Linked DNA regions of Caenorhabditis elegans. The protein of the gene in region 1 purifies or fractionates together with the protein of each later gene. This does not show direct contact. Each region holds a gene or a part of one and is shown on either strand. Other genes may lie near its edges.

Region 1 (4,643 bases):
TAACTTGCACATCCAATTGCCCGGTTCCAGCGGTTAATTTCAAGGGTTTATGCTACAAGGTAACATTTTCAAAGAATCTGAAATGAGGAAATGGATTTTTTTCAGATGTGCCGGGGTCTTGTAAAGTTCGAAGACAGCTGTACATGGTGTAATGGAACAATGGCTACAATTTCTAGTGGAGAAGAAAATGATTTTGTTTCCAGTAAGAATTTCAATTAGGTTATGGTGACCAAGGGTGTCAAGTCCCTTATCCCGTTTATCGCGTTGTCCCGTTTTTTGTGTGTTTTCACGGAAACGGGACGTCCCGCTGTCCCGTTTTTGTAATTTTTACGGGACATTGACACCCTTGATGACCGACATCTCCCGGGTATTTACAGTTTTTTAAACGAAAACAAAAATAGAAAATTGTTTCAAAAATTGGAAAGTTTGCTGCGTGCCCTGGGAAAAAAAACTCGGCCATATTTATAGGCAGGCAAAAATTCAGGCGTACTTGACCTACAAGCTTGCCTACCGCTTATTTTCTGAATTTTTTCCCATATTTGCGCACTGTAGATTAACCATTTTCTCAGTTAAATTAGTTTTGCAAATCCAATAAAAAAAAACGTTCAAGTGTACTCTTAACGAAGGCACTGGAAAATACCACCATTTCTGTTCGATTTTTAAGGGGTCTTTGGATCAAATGATGAGACAACACGTCAAATCTGGATTGGCAACACTGAATCCAGTGGTTATCTAAACTGGTCTCAAGGCCAACCTACAAAACCGAATGATGGCTTGGATTATTGTATTTCAATGGACTTGAGTGCAGGATCTACTAGAGGAAAATATAAATATTTACCATGTCAGAGTACAGTTATTAATTCGTTATGTGTAATGAATCCTTGAATAATTGACTTGTCAAATGAACAATTTTATCAAATCTCAGACAATCAGAAAACCACTCAATTAATAATCTGCTTTTAGAACATTACCTGATTTTTCTCATCACATTCAAAATGAAATCATATTGATCTACTGCTTATCAGTTTGCGACAAACTGTCCTGAAAATCCAACTATTCTGTGGTATTTGTAGTACATCCTCCAAAAAAAAATCAAGTCATTGAAATTATTTCATTTTGTGCAGAAAAGTGCAGAAAAATGCTCTCATTTAAAAACATTTGAGTATTTTGGATATAAAAAGTGGCAAAATTAATTATGTAGAACCATTCATTATTAGTTGAAAATGAAGGAAATAACAAAAATTGGTCGTTGATTCAATTCAATTTTGCACCGGGTACACTCAAATCTTCCCGCATAAAATCAGGTTTGGTAGTACTGAATTAGCATAGGTACCCAGAATCGGAAAACATGTGAACAGTACATGAAGAAGACTAGACAGGAAACATTTATTGTGAATTAAAAATTATTCCAAAGCGCGGTGGAGCATTATCTGAAAGTCTACAAAACCACAGCCCACACAACTATTATCAGAAATGTCTTATCAGATTTAAAATGAAATCAGATTCAAAAATTGATATGGATGCTTATCAGTTTGTGCCAAACTGTCCTAAAAAATCAAACTATTGTGTAGATTCTGTATACACATCCTCCAAAAAAGATCAAATCATTGAAATGATTTCATTTTGGCCGCGGAAGAGCAGAAAAACGGTGACATTAAAGAGCATTTGAGATAACCGATTCGAATATAAAAAAGTTGAAATTAAATATGTAGAACTATTCATTATCAATTGACAATGAAGACATTATTGTGGTTTTTAGTCTTCGTTGGAGTTTCGAATGCGTTAGGTAAGCTTACTGATGGTAAAACTAGAATATCAGCTCTTTTTTAGACTGCACTCAAATTCCGGCTGGTGGTATTGTCCCTAGACATAATGCGACTATTCCAGCGGGAGCCAAGGAACCAGTGCTAATTCCACCAAACTTTAATTGTCTTTATAATGTAAGTAGGGACGGTGTTTTCAGGGTGTTTTACTATTAAAAACTCCTTTCTAGATCAAAGTTCCAGCTATGGTATATGCTCGTGTTGTTCTGGAAAACGGATTGAATGGAAACAATGATCAGATAACTGTTACAAATGAGCAAAACGCGAAGACATTCATCAACAGGTAGGCTTTGAAATGTAACATTTAAAACAGGAATTTTAATTTTAGTCGTTCTGGAAAGTATGCAACTTTCTATGTATTTCCAAATACTCTCACAAGTTTCCTAGTTTCCACGAAAAGTGTTAATATGCACTCATCGTTCCGAATGGTGGTTGACTATTATTCATGTAAGTACAAATATGAGTAATCTGAAATATTTCGAAACAACATTTCAGTGAACAACGCGACAGTTACTTATTTGGACAACCCAGATATGCAATATTCTCGCTTGTACACTTTGCAAGCTGAAATCGGCTGGAGCCCACGAACCATTGTGGCAAAGGAGAGGGTGGGGAATTTTTAATTTGAATTTATTAGCAACTTTGAAAATTTTCTCTCCCACGAAACATTTTTAATCAAAATTTTCGTCCAAAACTATTTAATTATTTTGATTCAATAATTAAAATTATTTTCGATAAATCGACACGCATATTATGCATATATCAAACGAAAACTTGCGTAGTTATAGTTAGCTTTTTCGTTCACTTTACTATTTTTGTGTTCCAAAAATATAGCGATTTACCGAGTATGCCGACTACGGCAAAAATTGATCCGCGAGAGTGTAGGCATGAAAAGTGCGTTGTTCGCCGTGCAGGCAGTCATATCTTAATTATGCATAGAAACCTCAAGAAGACCCAACTTTACAAAAAAACTTCTTCCTACTTCGTAATTCAGATGTCCATTTCCATCGCATACTCCGGCTGGACACCCTATGACAATTTGTACAACTTTTTCTTGATTGAAGGAGATTTGGAGAACCCATTAGCAATCTACCGTATGACTCAATTTTTGTACCAAAACTATATCAGTAAAGGAAACAAAGTTACTGTTCTTGGATTGGATAACACGTTTTCGAGAAGCTCAATTGTATTTGTCCCACTGTCACAAGCTCAACAATATGATTCATATACAGCGGCAAGTGGCTATATGAATCTGAATCAAGTGGATATTGATGCAACTGTCGGAGAAAAGAAAAAGAAAATTGTCACAATGATTTCAATGCGAGATTATGTTATGATTTGGAAAATGGAAAAGGTGAGAACATGAAGGTGGAGTAGCGTGAATTTAGCTCCAAATACGCTCTCCACCAAAACTTTTCAAAATTGTTTTTTTTTTCAATTTTGCTTAAATTTTTAAAAGAGCTAATTATTGTTGAATTGAATTTTTTGAACTAAAATAAAATATAAATTTCACAAAACTAGATCACTCATTTGCCCGAGAATTCAAAACTAATTCAGCCCATTTTTGTTGCAAAATTGAAAAAGTCATAAACATTTTTGAAAAATTCTATACTATTTTTACAGTTAAATTAGGAACATTATGCATGTTTTGTGTCATTTAGGAAACCTGTAATGTAAAGTAATGGGCAAAATATTTTTGCTGTTGACAAAACTATTATTAACTTTACTGTAAAAAATAACATATTGCTGGCTCGTTTTGGATTATAATTTGAAAATTGAAAGAAAATTGAATGAAGCCTTGCACAAAATTGATCAAGATTTAAAGTTTTGGTTTTTTGAAAATCCTGACCAAATCAATTCTCTAAAATTTTCTAATATAAGACTAGTAGTTCAAATTTAAAAAAAATGTTTTCATCTAAAAATGTTCCAGTTCCTAGTGAAAATTTAAAAAAAAGAAGTAGGGAATTTAAAAAAAGTTTATTAATTTCCATTAAACATAAAACATTAAAAATTAAGCATCCTAAAATTTTCTAAATACGAATAATGCTTAAAGCTATTTTCGCATTTTTCAAAATTCCAGACAAGTAACCCTGACTGTGTTCTGAAAGCAATTACATCTCCTCCAACAAGTGAATCAAAAGTGCTTCTCGATTTCTCGGTCGAAACCCAATTCCCGACAAACATCACTCGTCCATCGTTTTGCATTATTGCTGAAAACTGTGCTGCGTCGATCCAATTTATTGTTCTTTAAATAAAATATCGATTAAATTGTGTTTTAAATAAATATTATCATCTGCAAATTTTCATAATTTTATTTCATAAAAAATAAATTGAAACTCATTAATTAATATTATTGATAATGAAAACTCGATGAGAAAAAAATGTTAAATAAATAATCAATAAATTAATTTAAAAAAACATCGCCCGCATTTTAAAGCTCCTTAAAAGTGTAGATTCCGACCTTGTCAAAAATATTTCTTAATCACAAACATTCTCTCAAAGACTACAATTTTTCATAGTTTTCAGAAATTTTTGAACACTTCGGCAGTTCCAGTCATCATCAATCGTGCAAGTTCATGATTTATTTTCCAATTGGTCTTTGTACAAATTCTCAATTGAACTTTTGCGTCTAGCAATTTTTTGAAACCAAAAGATTAGTGTGGGTGGGGGTATGTGCCAAATACCGATGTGAATGTAATAGAAAATCTGAATAATTCACAGTAGGTCACAGATTTTGAAATGCCAGACATGGTTTTTCGTATTATTCTCGTCGTTTCTTGTTTTACATCGTTTTCTTGCAAGCCGAAAGTCAAAATTCAA
Region 2 (7,253 bases), on another chromosome or scaffold:
CATTTCCAAGCAAGTTTTTGAAGACGAGCCAACAAATGTTGTAATGTGGCTGCTCGTTGTCTGTATCATCATGTTTATGATTATCATGCTTCTCTACGTCTACATCTACTGGCTTCGTTCTACTTTCGTGGCAATTGAAGAGAGAGCTCTTCCCACTGAGGTTAAATATCGTCGATTTTTCTTTAAAAATATTATATTTTCCAGTTCGAAACGGAGGCATCTCTATTTGTCGCCAAGCAAAGAAGTTTCCAATCAGCATACTACGATCCTGCTCTTCTCGATGTTTCTGTCGACAAATGGAATTAATTTATTTTCCCCACACTTTTATCATTTTCAGTTCTAGCAATTAACTCAAAACCTGTTCACTGTCCCTTTTTATATAATAGTATACTGTTCTTCCCATCTCCTATCACACATCAACTTACTTGAGTTTTATTTGTTATTCAGTTTTATTTGTTATTCATTTACCCCTGTTCCATTCCTTTTGCACATCTCCTCTGCAGTTCTAATTTATTTTGTAATTTTTGAATTGTGAGGAAAACTTTCATTGCTTTTCCAACCAAAATAAATAAGTTTAAGAAAAAAGAACCCTGTGATGGCAGATAAGAACATAGGTCAATGGGAATGGCCAAAGGCGCACCGGAAAAGAGAATCCGTAAAGAGAGAAAGTCAGAAAAGTGAGAGAGAGAAAATGTCAAAGATAACAAAATGAGATCGGAGTTGGAAAATGGAGCAAAAATGACAAAATGAGCAAATTATGACATGCTGGCGATTTCATATTTTTGTCGGCGAACAATGAGAATCACAATTGTCGTTGTGATCAGGATTAAGGCCTGAAAATGAAAATTAATATAAAAATTCAGGCTTTTCAGCGATGTCTGCTCTGAAAGTATCAAACATGGTCTCGCCACGACTGATTATTTGAACTCCAAAGTGTGTGCGCCTCCGAGGAGTACTGTACTTCCCAACTTGTCACTTTTTTATAACTTCTCTCCTGTTGCCTCAAAAGTCTTTGAAAAACTATAAAGTAAGAAAAGTTAAAATAATAATGCAAGCATTACTAACTATTTATTTAATTTGATAAAAGATTCAACAAAAAAATTTGGAAGTATAGTACTCCTTAATGAAACACGTTTGCATTTGAAACATTGGTCGTGTCGAGACCGTATTTTTGGGCAAGAAATCGGAAAATTGATAAGTAATAGACATCTTAACTTTTTCTTGGTTCCTTCAAAATCATACGAGATTTTTGAAAATTACGAAAACCGTAGAAAAACTTGGTAAGTACTCACCACTGTTAATAAAATACTAACAACTAGAACTGATCTAAAATCTGCACATATTCTTTCTTCGTCAAGTGCCTTCGATTCTGAAGCCTCTTCAATTGATTCAGTTTCCACGTGGATATCCGGACATGTGTGTTGAATTGGTGGTTCTGTTGGGTGTGGAGTCATTGTAGATGATGTGATGTTGATCAATTGAGATATTTCTAGATTTTGACTTCGAACATCAATGGATGGAAATTGAGATGAGTCTTCTCTGAAAATGGTTTTAATTGTAAAATATTTCGTCAAGATAAGGATTCATTTAGCGGAAAAATCTCCCGACGCTACTCTCACTTTAAATAATACCAAATTTTCAAAAATTATCAGAATGCCTAATAAACTAACGGTCCATAAGATCAATTTTCTTACCTTTTCCTCCTCATCAAATCACATTTTGGTTTAGGGCATTCCCCAGTTGGAAGTTGTGGATGAAGACGGACTTGACATGCAAAATATACAATTGAAGTATGAGATACTCCAAATACTTTAACAGATGTTCCCACATGAGTTCGATTGTGATATTCAAGTTGTGGCATTATTGATTCATGTTTTGAACATCCAGATGAATCGATTACTTCGTGAGTTTCTTCACCACCAACAAGCTCACAGTTTTCGATCATTATGCATGACTCCTACAAAACTTAGTACGTTGGTCAATTTGAACATTTACGAACGATACTGGTGACTGTTTTCAGAAAAAAAACCCAGAATTACTTCATAAAAATAAACATTTTTAAAATTTTTCAAAAACTTACATAAACATTTTGGCACTGCCATGAATGATAAACGTCTTGTCCAAGAGCCAACCGACCGGCAGGTAACCCTCCGGGACTTGTTAATACTTCATATGAACAACTTGGTCCTTTGGTATCTGATGGAGGAGGTTTTGGAGATCCAATTGCCAAGGAAGTTGATGTTCCATTTATTTTCTTTTGATGGAAACATTGCATATTAAATATTCGATCATCTACAGTTGTGAATTCTGGATGAAATGAAACTGATAAAGATACTTCTAGAATTACTCCTGTTGGGTGCAGACTTCTGAAAATATTTACAGTTGAAATATAATTTAACTAAAACATACCTCCTCCGTGGCACCATACATTCCTCATGGGGAATCAGAATCTCAATTTGATTATTTGTCACGAGGCTCTGCAAAGCCTCACGGGTTATGAAATTTCTTGTATTTTTATGATTCCGTTACCTGAAAGCATGCTTTGTCTGGAGAATACTTAACATCCACATGACCCAGAAATGTTGATTTTGTGCGAAGCTTAACGTAGATTGCATCTGCTGCGCAACTGGAATGTATGTTGAAATAACTCAGAAATCAGAAAATTGAGTGTTTGATAACTATTTTTTTTATTAAACCGTATCTGTTTTATAATAATTTTTATATTTTTGGTTTCTAGATATTGGAACCTAAATTATCAAAAGACACTACCAAAAATTGGATCTGAGACTGATCAGGTTTCAGGTCAACTGATCATAAAGTTTTAACAATTGTTTCCTAATTGAAAATTACGAATTCTTTTTATGTGAAAAAATATTAAAAGGTAGGCAAGATTAGATGTTTCAAATTTTAAATAAGGTTTATAAAAAAAGAAGAAATTACTAGGTACATGAGCATTTCAAAAATATTTGTTGAGCAAATCCTAGGAAACAACGTTAAAGTAGATGTAGGTTGCCTTCGAAACAAGTTACAAATGCCTAGGCAGGCATTTTCAATCCCTTCAAAGAAATATTCAAATTCATCTTCAACTTCTCCTTCCTTTTTACTTTCAAAAACATGTTTTTTCTTCGTTTTTGTGTCAAATACATATATTCCGTATTTTCTATTCTCAACCTATTCTTCTTTTTCTTTCCTTTCCGTCATTTTGAAACCGCAATCGAGTTTGAAACCCTGCTCTTCTTCGTCCCAAAATTGAATCAACTCGTCGTTTTCTTTTTTGCTACCTTATCCTTTTTTCTTGCTCGATATCTTGATCAAGGATCAACATTTCAGACCCACTTTTCATAAAAACTCATACTTTCCGCAAACTAATATGTAAATCGGTGGTGCAATTTTAATATAAAATACTCGAAAGATGATGAGGTTTTTACGGAAGAATCTTGAAATAGTCTTTTGAATCAAGAGACGCAGTACAAATGTTTGAGCAGGCTCCCCTTTTTGCATGGAGCTGTCTTGTTGTTTGGTATTGCATAAAATGAAATGAAATGGCATTCGATTTCGACCACTGAATGACGGCTTCCGACCCAGAGTAACATGATGGTGTAGGGTCAAAATATACATGATTGGATGCATGTGCAAACCAATTGTTATTATACGTTTGACACAAAAATTGGGTCTACTAATATATACACAATATTATTTACCAAAATTTGGTCACTTTTATCTTTTTTGTTATTGGCTTTTCTAGAAAATAAGCTTAAGAAAATAGAAAGAAAAACATCTTTGTCAAAAAAATCAATTCTGATTTCTAACTTTGAAAATCTGGTTTGTGTGATTGATACCTATCGGGAGATAGTTCAACATCTAATAAATACCTAAGTTTTCGCTCGATTATTTTAACTTCTTGCTCTTAACGATAAGTCAAAAAACCCCATTTTAATGTATCTTTCATCACAATTCAAAAAGCGAAAGGCATGAAAAATCTGTGTATTTACCTGTACTATACAAATATGCTCAAGAAAATTTTACCGAGCCCGATTTGAATGAAAAACGTGAAATTTGAGCAATCTGGCAAACAAAATGAAATTTGGAAAATGACAATACTAATACAGTGGAACTGTATATCCTGGTTTTGAAAAGATACCGCACGGATATTAAGTTCAGACTTCAAAGTTCAAAATCTACAGTACTCTTTGTCTGACATATGTCGCCTCTTTTTGTCATTTTCTTATTTCCTTCATTCTTTACGAAACAAACTTCCGTTCAGAAACCCATTTGATTTCCTTTTTGCCTAAAACCTCTGCGCTTCTTCTTCCAATACACTAACTTCAACATTCCGTTTAGGCGGTCAAATATGCAAATGTGATACTCTTCGCCTTTTGGAAACCCCTTTCGAAGCCATTAATCCTGCGCATTGTGACACCAAACGTACGTAAAGGAAAGCAAGAAAAAGAAGCAGCGTCTACATTAAAAATAGAGCTCTCAAAAGGATAGGATATGTACGATTGCAGCTAATCTTGAAAGATGGGATAGATTTTAGTTGATTACTTCTGTTTTAATTTCCACAAGCTTAAGGGAAGCTTCAGGAAATTAAAGTTGAATTTCTGAGTTTCGGTGGTATTCTGGATAGTTCAGAAAATCTTTAAGCTGTTTTAAATTTTGGAATAAAATGAATTGCGCCAATAGCAGAAATATGCGTTTAAAATTAGTTAGAACTAATGTTAGAGCCAATCATATTGTGCGATTTTTTTCTAAACTTTTTATTAGGAAAATGTTGAGCTTGACCACAAACTGGCAAATTAAACCTAATTCGAAAACGGATCATTGATATAGGTCACCAAAAACATTTTTCCTAAAATACTAAAAATATCAAAGCTAATTTTGAGTAAATTTCCGTGAGTTGTTTATTAGGCTACAGGTGCTTTACAAGCTATACAATAATGTCAAAAATCACAATGGTCACTTTCGAGAAAAAAAATCTATAGATTTACGTCTGCCGGCTTCATCACATTTGAGGCTAAAAAATTTCACGCAAAACCGACGATATTATTTAGATGAAAACATAATTAAATTTTCTGCCTCTTCCTATATTAAATCCGGAAATTGCATTCTTGACAGAAATAAAAAATAAGGGCAACTTTTCGACAGGTGAGTGTCCGACAAAAATGTACAAACTTTGAGCTTCAATAACTTGGCTCATTGCTGGCGCTTTTGCATTCACTAAGTGCGAATGACTCAAAAATAGTTGCCCCACCATGGTCATTATTGAGGGAATTGGTCACTGAATAATCGTTAATATACAATAACCCCATTTCGAATCAAAAACCTCAACTAACCTGACCGTAGGCTCTCCTAGAACCTCATTTCTCGGCGTTGGTTCTTCATCTTGACACTTGATACCGGGTCCGTCGAAACACAATAAAAGCAGCAAAAGCATCGAGAATCGCCAGTTCATCACCGATTTATGTGCTTTATTTGGAGAATCGCCACAACACGAGCCGTGGGCTCCAATTCTGGTGTGCCGCCGCGACAACGACTAGGGGACGATGACGGCCACGCCCACAAAAACGTTTATTTTGGTGTGTAAGAGAGAAAATGGAGAGGAGAAGAGATATTGTATGAGAAGAAGAGAATTAGACATGTCAACGAAAAAGGTGAAAAGGTGAGAAAATTCTGAAGAATATTTATGAGAAGCCAGAAAACACAAAAAGGTGTCAGACTGGTCAGAAACATTGAAACGAATTGGTAGAGACTTGCAAAAAATCGGGAAAATGCTGAAGGCCTCCAAGGATTTCTTGTAACCCGCATTTTCAGTCATTTGAGCAATTCTGAGCAAAATTCATAAAAACTTTCATTGTCAGCTTTTCAAATTCAAATCAATTCCTCACCACTCTAATTTGGAAGAACTGGAAAAACTGGAAAATATTTTCAACATGCTCTCAGAAAGAGATACCACTCAATTCTTTTCATTTTCCTGATACACTCAAAAGCGGCAGAAAGCGTATAATTTGTGTCATTATCTATACTTATAACACATGGTCATTTCCATTTCACACTGACAAACAAATATTTGGCAATACATAATGTGGCTTATTTACGACGTCTTGAACAACTTGACTTGATTAAAAACTCCTGTGGGTTTATAAATTGAGTGAAAAGTGAAAAATGATTGAAACATGTAAAGGAAATCGAAAGTTGAATAGGTGAGAAATTAGGTCGTAAAATGAATATTTCAGCAAAATGTTGAAAAAGGTTGTGATGAAATAATCGAGAAAAAGTTTATAGTAAACTTTTAAAAAACGAGCGTTATCAAAATGTCAATAGTATAGACATACTTCTTGGATTAAAATAAAAAAAATTTCAAAATCAATGTTTGGGAATGATTAGCTATAAGATATTTGGAGATCTTTTAAACTTGAGCGGAAAATGTAAAATTCAAACTTTACCCAATTTAATTTTTGAATCCAAGGGCCTATGATGAATATAAATTATTTCAGAAGTAAAACATTGGACTGAAAAGGCCTAGAGGACTGAAAATGAATAGGCGGTGAGGAATACCAAAACTACGTTAAGCTGTATTGGATCTAGAGTTTAGAATTCAACCTCTGCTCTTTCTTATACTCTTTACATTTTTCGTATTCTTCGTCTTTTTCTATTCATCTGAAATGTGAATCCTATTCGGACTGAAATTAGATTATCTTTGTAAAAGGGATATGTAATGCTTTTCCAAAAGATGTGATGCTTTCTCTCCAATAAATGTGACATAATTAATGCGTAATAGTGATTTGAGGAGTGGAATGGATAACGATGATGATGATGCAGGAACAACAATAAGAAGAAGGTGATCAGATGAGATGGGCGGTACACATTGAACATTAAAAAACGGTGGAAAAACGAAGCAGAAGCTTGCGCAATCCAGACAGATAAACGAGATGGTTTGTAAGAATGGAAATTAAGAATAAAAACCGTTGATATTTTAGAAGGAAACTATGCAAACCAAACCAGAAGATAACTGGGGAAAAAAGATGAAGAATGCTGTCATTTCCATGTTTTCCGAATTATTACAAATAGCAAAATGAAGGCCTGGAAAAGGAAATGAGTGGTCAATGTCAATTTATATATACAAAAGTATTTTTTAGTAAACCCGTAATTTAAAATTATGATAACTAACAGTATAATTATTTTGGAAATATCAAAGAATACAATCTTTAAACTTATTTTTATATAGATTGTATCTGCCATACTAAAGTTTTTGT

Evidence for each region.
Region 2: the proteins of irg-4 (region 1) and cutl-15 fractionate together in Caenorhabditis elegans (co-fractionation; one large-scale study listed by BioGRID). This does not show direct contact.

What each region holds. Positions count from the first base shown.
Region 1 is NC_003282.8:12,434,117-12,438,759, forward strand, and holds irg-4 (CUB-like domain-containing protein), read left to right. Parts: upstream 1-1,716; 5' UTR 1,717-1,734; coding exon 1,735-1,786; intron 1,787-1,830; coding exon 1,831-1,940; intron 1,941-1,993; coding exon 1,994-2,106; intron 2,107-2,151; coding exon 2,152-2,270; intron 2,271-2,318; coding exon 2,319-2,431; intron 2,432-2,817; coding exon 2,818-3,177; intron 3,178-3,903; coding exon 3,904-4,074; 3' UTR 4,075-4,120; downstream 4,121-4,643. Other genes in the region: clec-184 (C-type lectin domain-containing protein), read left to right, coding at 1-59, 106-202, 665-885; clec-185 (C-type lectin domain-containing protein), read left to right, coding at 4,563-4,643.
Region 2 is NC_003280.10:8,942,133-8,949,385, forward strand, and holds cutl-15 (ZP domain-containing protein), read right to left. Parts: upstream 5,557-7,253; 5' UTR 5,453-5,556; coding exon 5,334-5,452; intron 4,431-5,333; exon of another isoform or gene 4,286-4,430; intron 2,627-4,285; coding exon 2,530-2,626; intron 2,478-2,529; coding exon 2,410-2,477; intron 2,367-2,409; coding exon 2,081-2,366; intron 1,958-2,080; coding exon 1,695-1,957; intron 1,540-1,694; coding exon 1,293-1,539; intron 834-1,292; coding exon 756-833; 3' UTR 524-755; downstream 1-523. Other genes in the region: T21B10.4 (uncharacterized protein), read left to right, coding at 1-160, 205-306.